Linked DNA regions of Oryctolagus cuniculus. Each later gene encodes a partner of the first gene's protein in a complex. Links are inferred from orthologs where the notes say so. Each region holds a gene or a part of one and is shown in the gene's direction. Other genes may lie near its edges. The genes, in order: PPIL2, PLRG1 and CRIPT.

The links.
Region 2: PPIL2 (region 1) and PLRG1 share a complex: the UniProt entries of both Homo sapiens proteins name them as parts of the minor spliceosome. The link is inferred for Oryctolagus cuniculus from reciprocal best matches to the Homo sapiens genes PPIL2 and PLRG1.
Region 3: PPIL2 (region 1) and CRIPT share a complex: the UniProt entries of both Homo sapiens proteins name them as parts of the minor spliceosome. The link is inferred for Oryctolagus cuniculus from reciprocal best matches to the Homo sapiens genes PPIL2 and CRIPT.

The regions. Positions count from the first base shown.
Region 1 is NC_091452.1:29,126,939-29,130,686, reverse strand, and holds the start of PPIL2 (RING-type E3 ubiquitin-protein ligase PPIL2), read left to right. Parts: upstream 1-1,073; 5' UTR 1,074-1,259; coding exon 1,260-1,291; intron 1,292-2,996; coding exon 2,997-3,046; intron 3,047-3,748. UniProt on the Homo sapiens protein: Has a ubiquitin-protein ligase activity acting as an E3 ubiquitin protein ligase or as an ubiquitin-ubiquitin ligase promoting elongation of ubiquitin chains on substrates.
Region 2 is NC_091439.1:11,044,987-11,048,634, reverse strand, and holds part of PLRG1 (pleiotropic regulator 1), read left to right. Parts: coding exon 1-41; intron 42-1,991; coding exon 1,992-2,084; intron 2,085-3,150; coding exon 3,151-3,300; intron 3,301-3,389; coding exon 3,390-3,491; intron 3,492-3,648. UniProt on the Homo sapiens protein: Involved in pre-mRNA splicing as component of the spliceosome. Component of the PRP19-CDC5L complex that forms an integral part of the spliceosome and is required for activating pre-mRNA splicing.
Region 3 is NC_091433.1:156,146,964-156,150,711, reverse strand, and holds the start of CRIPT (cysteine-rich PDZ-binding protein), read left to right. Parts: upstream 1-1,053; 5' UTR 1,054-1,190; coding exon 1,191-1,206; intron 1,207-2,894; coding exon 2,895-2,960; intron 2,961-3,613; coding exon 3,614-3,668; intron 3,669-3,748. UniProt on the Homo sapiens protein: As a component of the minor spliceosome, involved in the splicing of U12-type introns in pre-mRNAs. Involved in the cytoskeletal anchoring of DLG4 in excitatory synapses.

The DNA.
Region 1 (3,748 bases):
CATCGGATCAGTGTGGTGCGCCGGCCGCAGCGCGCTGGTCGTGGTGGCCATTGGAGGGTGAACCAGCGGCAAAAGGAAGACTTTTCTTTCTGTCTCTCTCACTGTACACTCTGCCTGTCAAAAAAAAAAAATGCTTAATTAGGGCATCATCCCATATCCTGAAAGGGGCGACCCCAGCTTTGCGGGGGCAGTACCCTTCCTTCTCATGAAGAGAGGTTGCCTCTTCGCCATCTGAGTACCTAAATCCTGCTTTCCCGTACGCCCTTAGGGTGTTCCTCCAATTACTTCACCGAGTGGAGACAAGAACTTGGAGCAGGTGCAGCCAGGAGTGTCCAGCATATTGCAAAATGGCAGTGGGGGGCCCTCCTGCCCAGACGTGTAGGTACCATACATCTTTCACGCCTCGCATCTTCCGTAATGACTGCGAACCCCTCCCATGGGCAGAGGATTCGGTATGAGAATGAAGCTCAGGTAAGGTCATGGAGATCTGACTCAAACTATGGGATTCCTCTTAGGCTGAGGGTCTGGCCCCTCCCAGGGCAGTGCTGGAACATTCTTTGAAAAGCAAGCTCAGCAGTTGAGATTGGTCTGCCCCTCCTCCCGGTTCTGCCTCAATCCTAGGCCTTCAGTTACAAAATTTGGGTGACCCGGTGGCTGGCAGTCCGTTCAGGAGACAGGAGAGTAAGGAGGCAGCGGGACAAGAATTCTGCTTTCTCAGCAGGCGTGTTAAATCCGAGATCAGTGGTTTGAGAGTCCACAGCGCCGGCACCTCAGCTTGGCGAGTCCCGAGACGCAAGTGCTGCTGGCCAGGGTCACCCGGGGCCCCAGCGTTGGACCCAAAGTGGCTCAAGAAGAGACAGAAGGGACCAAGCGACGGTCCATGGCCACCTGTCGCTGGGCTGCCGAGGGGCGTGGAGGCTGTCGGACACAATGCACTCTGGGAATGGGATACGAGCGAGCAGGCAGCTAAATGGGGCGGTGCGAGGAGAGAACAGCTCCGCCAAGAAAGAGGGGGCTCAAGCTAGCGCGGCCTCCCTCAGTCCAGGGTCTCAGGTACCACACCGCGCCCAGACCCCGTTGGAGCATGCGCACTCGGCGGCAGGGAAACCCGACAGTTCCCGGCATGCCAAGCGCCCGCTTCCGGCGTGGGCCCGCGGATCCCGGAAGTAGCTGCCCGACTACTCGGCGGCGTCTGTGGGCTCGCGGTTGCTGGCCGTGACTTTTCCGCGCTCGAAGACCCCACCGCCGCGCTCGCCGCCATGGGGAAACGCCAGCACCAGAAAGACAAGATGTACGTGGAACCGCGTCGGGGGAGCGGCTCGCCGCTGCGCGCCCGGCCCCGCGCTTGGCCGGGGCTTCGCGTCGCTCCTCTTCCCTCGCAGAGTCGAGTCCCCAGGACTCCTCCCGGAAGCCCCCTGCCCACTCCCCAGGCCGGGCAGTGACACCGCTGCCCCCAGCCCCTGCGGTAGCCCGGGGATCCGGCAGCCGCGTCTCGGGCCCCCCGGGGTTGGAAGCGAGCGAGCCCCGGCCGCCGTCGCGTTTCTTCGCCTTTTCCGAGTGACGAGCCCCGGTCTGCTGCTGTCTCTCGAGTCCGCTGGGGCCAGGCTTTCACAGCCCCTGTCCCCCGCCTTGAGTCCTTGTTGCCGAGCTTGGGGTCATCCAGTCATTTCTCAAGCCCGTGGCGTTGACCTCTGCGATCTCGCGTGCGTGGTTTTCCCGCAAACTTCAGCGGCCTCCCCTTTTCTCGGGTTCGTCGGCCGGGCCCCCTCCTCCCGTTTCTCCCAGGCCTCACAGGTTACTGTCTGTGGCGGGGGTCTTGAAGCAGTCTGTTCAGCCCGGCATCTCCGCTTCGGCGGTCTGATACAGACCGCATTTTAATCTGATCATCGGAAATAGAACCCAGCCCTGGAGTTTGCCTCTCTCCTTCCTGTCTCAGTGATAGGCTGAGAATTAAAAAAAATTTTTTTTTAAAGATATTTGTATTGATGTGAAATGCGGAATGACACAGGGAGAGAAAGAAAGATCTACCATGCACTGGTCCAGTCCCCCAAGTGCCCCACAGCCAGGGCTGGGCCAGGAACTCCATGCAGGTCTCCCACGTGGGTAGTAGGGACCCCAAGTGACTTGAGCCATCCTCTGCCGCCCCCCAGGTGCCTTGGCAGGGAGCTGGTCAGAAGCAGAGGGGCGGGGTCTGATTCCAGGCGCTCTGGTACGGTATGCGGGTGGCAGCCTCACTCACCGCACCACAGCGCCCACCACAGACAGGGTTTTCCGACCTTACCGTGGTGTGAAAGCAATGTGTGCTGGGGGCCAGTGCTGTGGCGTAGTGGGTAAAGCTGCCACCTGCAGTGCCGGCATCCCAGATGGGCACTGGTTCGAGTCCTGGCTGCTCCTCTTCTCATCCAGCTCTCTGTTGTGGCCTGGGAAAGCAGTAGAAGATGGCCCAAGTCCTTGGGCCCCTGCACCCACGTGGGAGACCCGGAGGAAGTGGTCAATTCCTGGTGGATTTTCTGCTGCTGCTCTGGCTGTCTTCCTACGCACAGCAGCCAGGGCGAGGCTTTGCGGCTGATGTCAGATCCTGCCTAGCAGGGCCCTGGCTCCGAACCCTCCGTGGTCTCCCACCCACTGAGGAAGACCTGCGAGGCCCCTCCCCATCCGTCTTCCTCCGCTGCCACCCGCCGGTGCCCGCAGCTCCCCAGCGACATCTGTCTGTTCTTCCTGCCTTGGGCATCGGTACCCGCTGTGGCTGCGGGCCCCGCCCGTGTGTCTGCCTGGAGGGCTCTTCCCCCAGGTCTGCCCGTGCCGGCCGCTCTCATGTGTCAGGTCTTCCTGGGTGAATCACCTCCTTTCCTTCTGAGCAGCGCAGGGCCGTCTGTGTTTATTTATTTATGGGTTTGTGCAGCCCCGTGTCTGCCGTGTTCACCCCTGGCTGGCCAGTGGCAGCGTAGTGATATCTCTCCCTCCCTCTCCCCGTCCCCTCCCCCTCCCCCTCTCAGGTACATCACCTGTGCTGAATACACTCACTTCTATGGTGGCAAGAAGCCAGGTAAGGCATGGGAGTCTTCTCTGCCCCGAGGACAGGGGTGTACAGAGGATGGGTGGCCCCATTATACAGGCAGCCCGTGGTCTGTGCAGGACAGCTGGGCCGAGGACTCCATTCACGGAAGAGGAAAGATGCCCCACCCACTGGCGATTTTTTTAAAAATATGGCTTAAAATAACCAAAGTGCTCCAGGCTGTGGTGAAAAGAACCCTGGTCTACATTTTTTCTTTTTCTTTTTCTTTTTTTTTTTATTTCAAAGTCAGAGTTACCAGAGAGAGAAGGAGAGGCAAAGAGAGAGGCAGAGAGAGAGAGAGAGAGGTCTTCCATCTGCTGGTTCACTCCCCAATTGGCCGCAACAGCTGGAGCTGGACTGATCTGAAGCCAGGAGCCAGGAGCTTCCTCCAGGTCTCCCACGTGGGTGCAAGGGCCCAAGGGTTTGGGCCATCTTCTACTGCTTTCCTAGGCCATAGCAGAGAGCTGGATCAAAAGAGCAGCCAGGACTTGAACTGGCACCCATAAGGGATGCCGGCACTGGAGGCGGCAGCTTTACCCCCTACACTACAGTGCTGGCCCTCTTTTTTTTTTTTAAGATCTAGTTATTGGCCGGCGCCGCGGCTCACTAGGCTAATCCTCCACCTGCAGCGCCAGCACACCAGGTTCTAGTCCCAGTCGGGGCTCCGGATTCTGTCCCGGTTGCTCCTCTTCC
Region 2 (3,648 bases), on another chromosome or scaffold:
TGCCCAAACCCCAGTGGCACCCACCATGGAAACTCTACAGGGTGAGCGAATGTCCATTTTATTCTGCCGTGTGAAACGTGTTGCTGTACAGTTGACAGTAGTCGAAGAATAGAACAAGAAGGAAGAGGCGTGACTGAAAACTGGTAGAGTGATTGCAGATGGGATGAGACGGGGCTTAGGCCAAGATATCTTGGAAAAGAATTTTCCTTAGGTAAAAGTGATACTTGTACATCTTATAAAATATTGATAGAAGGCTATTAAATGTGGAAAGCCATCAATTTAAGAAAATGGAATATTTAAAATGAAGGCCAAAGTATACAACAACCATGTAAAAAAATTTCTTTGAACCTACCAGTTATCCTTTCATCTGAATAACTGATTTAATGTACCAGATATAAGATGAAAAGTATTTACTAGGGGCCGACACTGGGGTGCAGCAGGTTAAAGCCCTGGCCTGCAACACTGGCATCCTCTATGGGCACAGGTTCCATTCCCGGCGGCTCAACTTTTAATCCAGCTCTCTGCTGATGTGCTTAGGAAGGCAGCGGAGGAAGGCCTGAGTAGTTGCATCCCTGCACCCACATAGAGACCCTGGGGAGGCTCCTGGCTCCTGGCTTCATTCGGATCGGCTCAGCTCTGGCCATTGCAACCATTTGGGGAGTGGGCCAGTAGATGGAAGACCTCTTTCTCTCTGTTTCTGCTTCTCTCTGTAACTCTTTAAAATTAAAAAAAAATACAGCTGACATAATTTAGTATATATTTAAATTTTACAAGTATTCAAATGATTATATAGTAATAGAGATGTTTCTTTTGGTGTGTAGGTCAAATGAATTAATAGATGTGTAGATCTGGGTGACCATTATCACCATCAGGATGTAAATATTACATAATCTCAAAACACAGCCCTGTGTTGCTGTGTTTTTGTGTATTTTTATTTTTTTAACGATTTATTTAAAAGTCAGAGTTACACAGAGAGAGAGAGGTCTTCCATCTGCTGGTTCACTCCCCAGTTGGCTGGGATGGCCGGAACTATGCCAATCTGAAGCCAGGAGCCGGGAGCTACTTCCGGGTCTCCCACACGGGTGCAGGGGCCCAAGGACTTGGGCCATCTTCTACTGCTTTCCCAGGCCACAGCAGAGAGCTGGATCAGAAATGGAGCAGCCAGGACACGAACCGACGCCCATATGGGGTGCCTGCACCGCAGGTGGCGGCTCCACCCGCTGTACCACAGCGCCGGCCCCCTAAATGCTGCTGTTTTATCATCATACCCTTTTTCATCCCTGGCAACTAACTGATCTGTGTTCCAACACTGTAGTGGTATCTTTTCCACTATCTCATATCGGTGGAATCATACAATACATACTTTTTTTTTTTAAGATTTAATTTATTTATTTGAAAGGCAGACTGACATAGAAATTGAGCGAAAGACATCTTCTGTCCGCTGCTTCACTCCCCAGATGGCTGAAATGGCTGGGAGTGGGCCAGGCTGAAGCCAGGAGCCTGGAACTCCATCAGGGTCTCCCATGTGAGTTGCAGGGGCCCAAGTACTTGGGCCGTCATCTGCCTTCCTAGGAACATTGGCAGGGAGCTGGATGGAAAGCAGAGCAGCCGGTACTCAAACTGGTGCTCTGATGTGGGATGCTGGCATTGCTGTCCGTGGCTTAACCTGCTGAGCCACAATGCCAGCCCCTCGGTGTATACTTCTGGGACTGACTTCCTTCACTTAGGTTAATGCCTTTGAGATTCCTCCAGACTGTTAAATATATTAATGATTCATCCATTTTTATTACTGACTAGTATTGCATTGTGCAAATGTGTCATAATTTGTGTGTCCATTCACCTTTGAAGATAATATTTCTCATTCTAAAGCCTAGTTTTCAAATAATTTTGTTAGTATTTGAAGATGTGAGGATGGCAGTTTAAATCTGACTTGTGATTAAAATGTCATGTGCTAGCATAAGGGTTGAATCATGCTCTACTTTTTAATACAGGTTATCAGTGGGCATCTTGGCTGGGTTCGATGTATTGCTGTGGAACCTGGAAACCAATGGTTTGTTACAGGATCTGCTGACAGAACAATAAAGGTAATAAGGAAGTTAAAAATGAACATGACTATTTGCCATGGAAGCTTGGTCTGTTTCACATTATTTCCTGTGGTGGACGTTGCTGTTGCATTTCCTTTGATTTCTTAGGCCTGAATATAAAATAAAATGTATTGTATTTTGAATTATTTTATTACGATAGAGCCAAAGAAATGGAGTTAGTGGATTAAAAATTAGTTTCCTCTGTGGGTAAACTGATACTTGCAGTCCAGGAGAAGACTGATTTCAGCATATTGATTCTGTATTCCTTTAAAAAATAAAACTATTATGATAAGCAAAAATGGGTATCTAATTTTTTAAACACTGTTTATACAAAATTTCTAGTGAAATTAAGTTTTCTTGTGGCTGGTGCTGTGGTATAGCCAGTTAAACCACCTTCTGCAATGCCAGTATCCTGTATGAGTGCTGATTCGAGTCCTGGCTGCTCCACTTCTGATCCAGCTCGCTGCTAATGTGCCTGGGAAAGCAGCAGAAGATAGCTCAAGTGCCTGGGCCCCGCACCCACTTGGGAGACCTGGATGAAGCTCTTGGCTTTGCCTAGCACAGCCCTGGCTGTTGGTGGCCATTTGGGGAGTGAAGATGGAAGATCTCTATATCTCTGTAATTCTGACTTTAAAATAAGTAAATATCTTTAAAAAAAAAAAGTTAAAAAGAAAAGAAATTGAGCTTTTTCATATCTTTGCTACTTTCAGGTTTTTTTAAGTTGTCAGTCTTTTCTAATTTAATACCATGTTATTTTTACTATTATAGTTATATCATTTATATATTAATAATATTAACCTTGTCAACTCTGGAAAATATTTTCTGTTTGGGCTTGTCTTGTCTTTTTTTCCCCTGCTTTTATTTGGAAGGCAGCTATGCTCACCACTATACCACCAACGCACACTCCCCTGCTTTTATTTGGAGGGAAGTCATTTTGCATATTTATTTCTTTGTATCTATTTTTATCTTTTCCCTTCTTTTTGAAGACTTAATTTTAACATCAGGATTCTAAAATTTGCTTTAAAGTAACCAACATAAAGGAAAAATAATTACTGTTTGATTGCAGATATGGGACTTGGCTAGCGGCAAATTAAAACTGTCATTGACTGGGCACATTAGTACAGTGCGAGGCGTGATAGTAAGCACAAGGAGCCCATACCTGTTCTCCTGTGGAGAAGACAAGCAAGTAAAGTGCTGGGATCTTGAGTATAATAAGGTAACCACTGGGATAAGGGCTTAAAACTTGACAAGACACCCTTTATCTTTCTGCTTGTACAGACTTTAACTTCCCTGCTCTGTCCTTAGGTTATAAGGCACTATCATGGACATCTGAGCGCAGTGTATGGCTTGGATTTGCACCCAACAATCGATGTGCTGGTAACCTGTAGTCGAGATTCAACTGCACGGGTGAGATAGAGCTATATATTTGTAAATACTTTGTGTCTGGTAATGTCTATGTTTGCCGTTAGTCTCATATTGTTTGGTAAAGAATTAAAGGTAGCTGTCTTGACTCTTCAATACCTTAGTCCCTCAGGTTCTTGATGTGTATACTTTCCAGTTTTCA
Region 3 (3,748 bases), on another chromosome or scaffold:
TGTATTGGCAGTGTGGAGTACAGACTTTATTAAATAGTCAACGTGTTACACTGTGAATATTCCACCAAACAGAAACAGCCCTAAAAAATACATAAAAGCATATGTGGGTGGGGAGAGGATGGAGCTCACTGGCGAATAGCTCTTATTTGATTCCCGCGGTCATTTATCAAAGGCAAGTAGTTTACTGATTAAACAAGAAAAACAAGTCAGGAGACTTGTTCCAAGCTCCCCAGCGCTACAGACATAAAGGGACACACGAGGGATCCGGTAGAGAACGGGCGACAAGCAGGGACAAAGTTTCTCAGACTCTCAGCTGCCTGCGGGTCGGGTAGGGGGAACAGAAATCCATTCTCTCAACAGATCCCCCTTACTTTCTCTGGGCCACCCTCGGAATCCCAGCAGCAGAAGCCACACTCCAGCGCCTGCTCAAAGAACGAAGGAACCCGGGCAGGTGAAGCGCCTGCCCTTCTCGGCGGGCCCACGAGGACACCTGCCGGGCGCGCCTTCGCGGGGCCACCGCCACGGCGCCGGCGATCTCGGCCCGCCCACGCCGGCCAGCAGGGCGCCGGCGAGCCCTCCCGGGGCAGCCGCCGCCCGGGTCGCGGACTTCATCCGCAGCCCCACCCCACACCGGGTCACTGGGGCTCGGCCCGTCAGCCGGCGAAAGCTGAGGGACGCGGGCAGGAACGCGCCTGAGAAAGAGGAGCGGTCCAGCAGGGGAGCCCCTGGGTCACGCGGAAGGAGGCCCTCCGAGGGCCGGCGGGGGCGCGCAAGCTCGCGACCACTCGGGCAGTTGGCGGAGGCGCCTTCCACACCTCCCAGAGGAGAACGCAGCCAACGGGGCTTACCTAACTCTCCCGCCCGCGAAGGGAAAGGGAACTACTGCCTCCCACCATCAAGGCACAACGGGCTGCCCCAGCCCACGCGCAGGCGCAAGCGCGCGGGGCGGAGACCCACGGTCGCACAGCCAATCGCAGAAGGGGATGGGCGGACAAACGAGGCAGCCCCGCCTACCCGCTGGCGTTCATGCCTCCCGCGGCTTTCCAGGCGTAGGATTGGCGGGAGCGGAGGATTAGGGGCCGGAAGTAGATTGACGTAGCCCGGAAGGAAAATTCTTCCCAGGCTGTAGTGTTGATGTTTTCAAGCTGCGGCTGATTCTGGGGCGAGGAGGGCGAATCGTCGGCGGAAAGATGGTGTGCGAAAAATGTGAGTTAAGGGGCCGCTTGTGTGGGGAGAGGAGGCTGGGAGAACTTACTCGGACTCTCCTGGGAACTTGGTTTTTCCTTTTCCCACAGGTCTCTAAGTCTAGCCTGTGTTCTCCCACCCTTGCCCTGTGACCCTTCCTGCCCCTCATCGACTGTGTAATCCCGTATATTTTGTCATCAGAATGGCCTTAGTTCTGCACCTTTTTGCCCATTGCCGTCGCCGCCTTCTGGCTCTCGCCTCATCAGTTACGGCTTCTCGACCGCCTCCGTCAGGCTTAAAATGGACCTTAAAAGTCATTTCTGTAGCGTGTGGAGTTGCGAGATCTAGCAATTCCAGACCTCCAATTGAATTTTAATTTAAGATAAACAACGAATACTTTTTTTTAGTGCTGTAAGTATGCCCCATTCGGTTATTTAGGACGTGCCTTACTAAATTGGCTTCGTTGCTTATTCTGAATGCATCCCATCCTATGAAAGAAACAGTATCTGGGTGGGGGAGGCTGGAGACCCCCACGACCTACGAAGAAGTCTCTGCAAGGAGGCATTGCTGGCTTGAGGAAAGTATTTTCCTCTGTGGTTGCCACCCAGTGTTTTTAATTCAAACTCTTAAGATTTGTAGAAAATACACCCTGTGGACCTACCAAGCTGTTTATGTGTTTAAAAGCAGCTGTCAAGTTCCCAAATCCTCTCCCTCTGGCTCTTCTGTGACAAGAGTTCCACTCCTCTTAATCCTGATTATGGTCTAATGAACATGACCTGTGGGCATCCCCGTGGTAGATGGATACAGTCTGGACACACAGACCCATGGCAAAGCTGCGTGGTGTTCCCAGATTTCCCATCTGAAAATGAGAACGCAACATAAGCCTTGGGTTTTTTTGAGAATTACATGAAATGACATAGGTAATGCCTGGTACAAAGGTCCCTAGTGTGTCCTCTGTCATAACTCACTACTGCGTGACACAGAATTAAACTCTGCTCCATATGTGGGCCAGAGTGCAACTAATGCCTCCCTCCTTCTGGATACTACACCACATACCATTGTTGCCTTACATTAAGCTTTAAGAAAATAACCATTAAGACGTAATTCACATGCCATGCAATTCATGCACTTTAAGTGTACAATTCACTGGTTTTCAGTATATTCAGAGTTGTGCAGTGTGATCATAGGCTGACCTGTCCATCCCTTCAGAAAGTGCATGATCTTACTTGACACTGACTGTCTGTAACTCTGCTTCATCTTGTACTTGCAGTGGTTTTTGGACTTGTGTGTGTATTTGAGTAAGTTTGAATTAAATATCTTTATATTATGTGCTGGCCCAAATGTCTCATCTCTTAGGTGTGGTTCTTAAATCTCTAACTTTGGCCTCCCATGTAATTTGTGTTAGTCTGTCACTTGGGATGCTTGTATCCCAGATTAGAGTGTCTGGGTTTTGCATCCTTGGATGTGAGTCCCAGTTCCACTCCCAACCAGTGAATGGGAAACCACCTGCCTCCCCAACCTGCATTTCAAACAAATAAAATAAAATTTTTTTAAAAAAAATCTTGAATCTCAGTTCACTAGCCTCTACCCCAGCATTAACAGGCTCCCACTGTAATATGACTGTTGATGGCATTGGGAGCCTTGGCACCATGTGGTGTATTTATTAACTAGCAAGTTATAATGCCCCTTTTACTATTTTATCACAACAGGTGAAAAGAAACTTGGCACTGTTATCACTCCGGATACATGGAAGGATGGTGCAAGAAATACCACAGGTATTTTTTTTCTTTTGGAAAACAGAAATTGAATTAAATACCACCTGTGAATAATATATTTTTACATTTATTTGTAAAGTGAGATGTTGTATTCTCAGAGTATCTTGTCTATAAAGAATATACGGGGTCCCCCAGTGATTTAATGCCTTCTCTCTAGTTCTCCCAGTTACATGCACAGGTTCCTAACATAGTAAGCAGGAGATAGCAAACCTACTAAATATTTTCAAGTGATGAGTGTGTCATAGTGTAGAGTCCGAATTTAATTTCTCCTCTCCTCACCTAGTTTTTATCTTCTTTATAAAAAAAAAATTACTTAAGCTGTTTTCACCAGGAAGGAAACGAAAGTTGAACTGGACTCAGAGTCTGTGACACCAAAGTAGTAACTTCTAGATTTTATAGTGGATGGAGTAAATGTAGACTCACCCCTAAAGTACTGCTTGCTGTCTGAGTAAGAAAACTGCATCTCACATAAACGTCATTGTTTCCCTAATATTTTCTAAGTAGCATCTCAAAAACTTAGCTATTTCACGAGAATTTAAAAATTTTGATATAGGCTATTCTAATGGTGGGAGGTCAAAGGATGAACTTCTAACTGAATTAGTAGGTGTGATGTTAAGTATGTAGAAATAACTTACTGAAATATTTTGATACAGAAAGTGGTGGAAGAAAGCTGAATGAAAATAAAGCTTTGACTTCAAAAAAAGCAAGGTGGGTAAGAGCCTCTGTGGAGCCGTCGTGTAAGTTCCCACTCCTGAGACTAAGCATGCGGGAGTGAATTTACTGTTCAT